2 separate regions of the Mus musculus genome follow, and region 2 is reported to be linked to region 1. Evidence: microRNA targets listed by miRTarBase, many of them from high-throughput screens and not tested one by one. Region 1 holds a microRNA gene; the other region holds the end of a gene's coding sequence.
What was found. Region 1 holds the annotated microRNA mmu-miR-1193-5p (UGGUAGACCGGUGACGUACA, at 2,050-2,069, opposite strand). A microRNA usually pairs through its seed, bases 2 to 8, with sites in the 3' UTR of a target mRNA and lowers its output. Matches are read on the target gene's strand: a 7mer-m8 pairs with bases 2 to 8, a 7mer-A1 pairs with bases 2 to 7 and ends in A, and an 8mer does both.

Region 2: miRTarBase lists Plekhm3 as a target of mmu-miR-1193-5p. The part of its 3' UTR that is shown has no 7-base or 8-base seed match.

Annotation. Positions count from the first base shown.
Region 1 is chr12:109,714,377-109,717,784 of GRCm38, reverse strand. Mir1193 (microRNA 1193) reads right to left here and starts at 2,114; the gene lies at 1,994-2,114. It overlaps Mir494 (microRNA 494), which reads right to left and starts at 2,467; the gene lies at 2,383-2,467. It overlaps Mir679 (microRNA 679), which reads right to left and starts at 2,208; the gene lies at 2,135-2,208. Mir666 (microRNA 666) reads right to left here and starts at 700; the gene lies at 602-700. It also overlaps Mir543.
Region 2 is chr1:64,792,267-64,795,674 of GRCm38, reverse strand. It overlaps Plekhm3 (pleckstrin homology domain containing, family M, member 3), which reads left to right. Exons shown (of 8, transcript NM_001039493.1): 8 at 461-3,408. The coding sequence ends at 638. Among named protein-coding and RNA genes, the nearest start is that of Fzd5, 56 kb to the right of the region's middle.

The DNA of each region.
Region 1 (3,408 bases):
GATTGTACTGTTACTCAAATGTCCCATGGTTCCTCTGGGACAGGCACTTCCCCCTCTGTCTAAACAGCCCTGGGTACTGTCCTCTTGAATTCTAGCTGGCCTTCAAACTCAGGGAACAGTGAGATCCACTCAGACATCTCTCACAGAAATGAAGACTCATTCCCCTCCCAGAAGTCTCAGCAAACATCTCCCTGTGGGCTAAGGTCTCATCTAGGAATCAATAATGTCTGGTCAACTGGTTCCTTTGACACTGTGTTGTGGAGGAGGGAGGAGGGAGCAGGAGCCAACCAACCCAAACCCATTCTCATTAAGAAAGGTCAGAGGACCATTCAAGAAGGGAGATAAACTCACACAACCCAGGCTCACTACATAGACTACTTTCCTAGACTAACATGGCTTCCCTGAAGTCAGTAAGTAGTTGAACCCCCGAAGTCTTCAACGTAGAATAGGATGCTGAAAAAGAAGTGCACCGCGAATGTTTCGTCACATATAAAGCGAAAAACACGCGGGCAACTTCTCATTAAGCACCGTACGTCAGCAGCATGGAACCCTGTGTACCACTTGTGTACCGCTGTCGTCACTTCCTGTGGCTTGAGTACCGCTGTCGTCACTTCCTGTGCGTGAGCAGGCGATCACGCTGCAGCCCCGCTGTACCTAGGGGGCTCTCACAGCTGTGCCCGCTCCACGCAGGCAGAATCAGGATCTTGTAGACAGGCTTTGGATTGGTCATCCTTTGGGGAGGTCTTTGGAGTCTCCTCAAACATCAGAGAATGATATAATAATCCTGACTTTGCTTCCCAAAGTCCAGCTCTGGATCCGTGACAAGAGAGGAGGTGGGTCCCGTGACCTCTCAGTCGAGGTCACCACCCATCTGCTAGAGGGGAGGACATCAACCTATGTTCCACGGTGGAGGCCCTGATGCAAGGAGGTTATCATGAAATGGGAAACAAAAAGATATCTGAGCCTTTGTCAGAACGAGACAATGTCTCCTGGACAAAAATATATGTAAGTGGCATGTGGTGTTCTGAGAACAGATTCTGTTGACCCTCCACTTGCTGGGAAATGGAACATTGAGATTAAAAAAAAAAAAGAACATGAATAAAGATAGACTTCTTAGGTGTTCCAGGTAGATAGTTGGTTGCCTATGCTTGTACACATGTTCTCTCCCTCATGACATGGCTACAGGGCACCTCCCCACCCTTCATTGGCTTGACCAATGAAACATGAGCAGAATCACAGTAGTTCCTAATCTCAGTCGGAGAGTTCCTACTTACTTTCTATGTCTCTGCCATGGCTGCAAGAACCACTTGCCAGGAGCCTGGAGGAGGGGCAAGGAAGCCACCTTCACCCCCAGGGTAGCAATACATCAGGAGGTCGTCCTAGGTATGGAAGGCATACTCAGCATTAGTAAAGAAGGACACACATGAAAATATAATATATTCTTTCAGACAGAACACCATGACATACCTTTTCCATTGATGAGGACTCTGGTGTCCTTCCCTAAGGAGATGTCATATCTGAAATACATCTCCTAGTCAGGTACTTGTGCTGGGAAGCAGCCAATGATTTGAATCCTCAGAAGACAAGCAAAATTGAACAGACATGGAGATGAGCAAGAACAACGAAGCCTATGCCATAAGTGACAGATGTGGGCTTGATGCTGGGCTAGAGAGACCTGTCACTCACCCACCAGGAGAAATGTGCCCCAGCTTGGGATATAGCTTCACATTCAGGGGATCCTCCAGGATGGCGTTGTTTACTGCAAAGATACAGGATCATAAAATGAAAGTCACGCCCATGGTAGCCCCCCCCCAACACACACACACACACACACACACACACTCTCTCTCTTGAACACATATATGTACACACACAAGCAGAAAAAGGATCCCCCTTAAAAGCTAACTCTGCTTGAAATATTTTAGTTTCACGCTGGCCTCAACCCCACCAACATCTTCTTCATAGCTGCCGTGTGCACCAAGGTGTCTTCCCACAGATGGTCTGGGTGTTGGTGGATAGTAAAACGGGTGACCTACAGCATAAATGAAGTGTACGTCACCGGTCTACCATCCACACAGCTACCCCGAGAACAGTGGGCATCATTGTCCCTTCAGTCACGATGCTGGCACGTCCTTATAGCTACTGTGAGGAGGACCTTGCTGAAAAGCCATCACACACCAAGAGTCACCTCACAGTCCAAAGCCATAGGGAGTAGCCTCAGGCCACCACGGGGACCCTGTCCCTTCTTCAAATGACTTTCCTTCCAGGGCTGAGTCCTGATGCCATACTCCCATGTCCCATGTCCCAGAGTCCAGGGAACAGCAGTCCAGGTCCCTTCCCTGAAGGCGTCATCAGGGACAGGGAGTGCCCCCAGGGTGGGATTTGATACTAAAAAAGAGGTTTCCCGTGTATGTTTCATCATAAATAAAGAGAAGACAACACGGACAACCTCTCCTTCAAGTATCAATTAGCACTGGTCAGAAAGCAAACAAAGGCAGCTGGAAAGTGCCAGGTGCCTTGTCAGAAGTGTCTGCTTCTGTGGGCCCTGGAGAGCAACCAAAACCCCTGTGCAATTTGACAGTCCACAGAATTGCCTGAGACTATTTACCAACAACACAGACCACCTGCATTCCTTATCTCTCCAGGTTTAGGGGGGGTCACTGAAGGGAACCAGGGACCCCAGAAATTGTGCCTCAGGAGATAACAGGGGAATAGTAGCTCTCAACTTCAACAAGTACAGTACATTGGGGGTGTTCAGGAATGAGCCTCGGATTCTGGTTCCAAGAGGTAGGTGGGTGATGAGAAGCGACCCAGCCCTCTGGTTGTGAGTCTGGGTAGTTTCCAGGGAAGGTAAGATTCTAAAAGCAGACACATTATAAAGTTAGTAGGAAGGTAAATGTGTGCCAGCACATGTGGTAGTATAAAGAAGCAGCAGGCAGGGGCAGGCAGTTCCACCCCCTGGTCGAGTGGTTCTCAACCTTCCTAGTGCTGTGACCCTTTAATATACTTCCTCATGTTGGGTAATCCCCAACTGTAAAATTATTTTCAATGTTACTTCATAACTGTGATTTTGCTACTGTTATAAATCATAATGTAGATATCTGATATGAAATGCCTATGAAAAGGGCTCATGATTTGCAGATGAGAATTGTGTTCTACCTGGAACCCCACAGAAAGCTCTACTGCTGACCACAACCCTGGGTGGAGTTAAGGACTAAGAACAGATTTCACATCTTTTGTTTATTTGTTTGTTTGTTTGGTTGGTTGGTTGGTTTGGTTTTTTTCGAGACAGGGTTTCTCTGTATAGCCCTGGCTGTCCTGGAACTCATTCTGTAGACCAAGCTGGCCTCGAACTCAGAAATCCACCTGCCTCTGCCTCCCAAGTGCTGGGATTAAAGGCGTGCGCCA
Region 2 (3,408 bases), not on the chromosome of region 1:
AGAATGAAGATGTCCATCAGACCTTCCTGAACTAAGACATAAAAGCAGTAAGTTAGGAGGGCTGAAGTAGAGCACTCCCTGGCATACAGCGCAGGGCTGCCAAGGCCTGCTAAGGGTTCCGGCTGCCAAGGCACTAGGTTACATTCTTGGCTGCTCACCCTAGAGTTTTTACTCCATTCTCTGTGGTGGAGAGGAAACTGGCACACAAAGCCTCATGTGCCTGTTGTCACTGTTAACAGAGTCACTGGGTCAGTGTTGACTCCCCTCCCCCAAGCCAGTGTCTCATGAGGCCAGTTCCAATCACAGGGAGATTGTGTCACTGGTGAAATCTAACATGGAGCCTTTTGAAAACAGATGCAGCCCCTGTCTCTCGTTATAACTCCTCCCAAGGACAGGGATGTCCCGCACAGCCTGTTGTGCTCTGTAGTCTTGTAATCACTTCTGTGCTTGGCTTTTGCAGATGTGAAAGCTGTGGAGCTGTCTTCCATTCTGAGTGCAAAGAAAAGTCTGTCCCCTGCCCACGGTGTGTCCGACGGGAACTGCAGAAGAAGCAGAAGTCCTTCTGGCGGCAGCTGAACGTGGACGAGAGCCTGGAGGAGGCATGCGCCATGTTCGAGCTGTCCTACCAAAGCACCTGACTGTAGGCCAGGATGCACTCTCCACCGCCCAAGGGGCTGCCCGTGCCCATGCAGATGAGGCTGTTCCTTCTTCAGCTAGATGTAGATAGATAAGTTATTTATTTATATTATATACACCTATACGTCCTGTACGTATGATGCTTTGTATAACTCATTGTCCAAGAAGTTCACAAAGATCTTGTGGATGAACTCCTACAGATAGCTGAGTTACCCTTGGCCATGACATTTGCTGCTTGCTCCCAGCAAATGTGATTGACACACATTGCTCTGTAGTTCAGACCCCTTCATACACACTGGCTCTCAGGGCCAGTTGACTGCACAAGTATTGGAGGAAACACCTCTCACAGCAAAGCTTTGCATTGCTACTGACATTTAGCCTTTGCTGGGGAAACTGAGGTAGAGCCATTGTCATCTGCTTCACAAGGACATCCCTAAAACACAAGAATGTTTCTGGATACTTCCAGGCCCAGAGTCTTTGGCAGAGATGGGAAGAGTGAAGCAGAGCCACATAGCAGAAAGCGAGAGGCCCCTTCCTTCAACAGAGAGCATCAGGAACTGAGCTGCGTTGGGTGTGAACTCAGTCCCTGAGAGAGAGTACAGAAAGCGAGGACCTCAGTGGCCAGTCACTTCATGTCGTTGTCTGTTGGCTGGTACGAAGCCCAGCACCTTCCTGATGATCAGAGTCTACAATGCCTGCCAGAGAGTGCACATGGGTGCCCTAAGAACAGTTCCAAGCGTGGAATGGAGGACACTGGTCATGTTTTTCACGGTGCTGCCCAGGAGGAAGTGTCCCAGGATTGCACTCAAGCGCATCAGTGCATAGTCTGCTAGGTAGAGTTTACTGCACGCATCTTGGAGGACCGGATGTTTCCTTCCCCAGAGCCCTCCATCGGCAGGACCCACCTGTCGTTTGAATGTTTTATTTCTCCTTGTCCTTCACAGCACTTTTGACCTTTATTCAGTCCGCGTAACTACTCTTGCTTTTGTATCCTGGATGTTTTGTTTGTTTGGGATGGGGACATATTTTAAGACAGGGTCCTGCTATATATCCCTGGCTGGCCTCTAACCTGTGACCCTGCTGCCTCATCCTCCAAATGCTGGGACTATAGGTATGCACCATCATACCTGGCTTTACTTGTTTTTAATTATTTTTAAAAAATATTTAAAAGTAAAAATTATGTAATTATTAAAAGTTATTAAGAAGTAACATTTTGAAAAATACAAACCTAAACTATTAAGAAAATACCAAACATAAATAGAATTAATGAATTAATATTATCGAAATAAGTAGATATATACATATATAATTGCCACCTTACAGTAACACAAAGAGTAACTAGCGTGGTAGGAATGGGAAGTGGATCACTTCGCTCTTTGGAGGGTAGTGTACTCCCACTGTGATCCCCTTCCTTGTAAGAGCCTGCATAGTTGTCACTGTGACCAAGATGGCTGCTAGGAAGGCACTGAGACCCTGGCGGCCAGCATTCCTTCTTCCTTAACTCTTTCCAAGGCAGGAGAATGGACTCACCAGGAAGTACTTGTTTGTGTCTTTCACCTGGAGCTGGTGTTGCCCACTGCCGCCCATGCTTCTGTCCTTTGGGATTTTCACTGCTGTTCAGATCAGGGGAAACACTGGCTCACAGAGAACGCAGGGGTTCAACTCCAAGTTGCTCCCACAGGCACCAGCTCTCGATGCTTCAGTCTAGTGGGAGACATTCAGCTGACTTGTGCAGTTAGAGGCAAGCATTTCACCTCTTGGCCCACACCATTTCCTTTGGCCCCAGACCATGCAGTTGAACGCCACACGTGTGTTCATTTCCTAGCTACCCGGAAGCTATAGCCAAGGCATGAAACTTGGTAAAAGGCCAGGGCCCTATTTACCAGACACCTCACGGTGCCTTTTATAAACTCTTGGGAAGGCAGGTTGACCTCACTGGAATGAGTGGTAGGGAATGTTGCGCATAAAGGACAAAGGTGGGAAGTCTCAAACACTTGGCAAAACAGACAAACAGATTTGAGTCTCTCTCTTCCTCCTCTTGTTCATGAAATACAGTATTTATATTTTCCAGCCTCAGAGAACAGAACATGATCTTTCACTGGAGAATTCTAGACCTGCTTATTATGAAACAGATGTGCTCCCGTGGCACAGTGCCTTCTCCCTCCACCCCCAGTCCCTGTCACCGTAGCTTACTCTTGACCTTTGCTGAAACTAATGTATCTGTGATTCTGACTGTCAGAGACGCCATTCCCAGCACACTGAGCACAGAGACTTGAAGAACAGAGCCCCCGACCCCAGGTTGGCCCCATGTCCTGCCCCAACTCACAGGTGCCCAAGATTAGACCTAATAAAAGCCGAGGGTGAAATCTGGATCCCTGTTTAGCACACCTGAGTTGTCTGTCCCCACTGCCCCTTAGAGGGCCTTGCTGTGTGTGAGCGGACCTTGGACACTCCTAAGACCTTTCCCTGGACATTGCTTCGTGTTTATTTTTTAAAGGGAAAGATAAGCATGCTGTCACTCATGATCTGGAATTGGAGCCATGTCCTGCTACTTCTGTTTTCACTATGGTCCATGCCCGCTCAGGACTCACAACAGCGTTCTCTGCCACCACCACCGGAATCTGATAGGACACCGTGGAGCCAGATCAGGAGTTGGATCTGCCATGAAAATTCAAAATTGCTATTTTCAGCCCAGAATGTCTCAGAGTGCATGAAGGCCCTTACTGTTTTCAGGTCTAACAAATGACTTGGTGCAGTGTTAGGTAGTTGTTC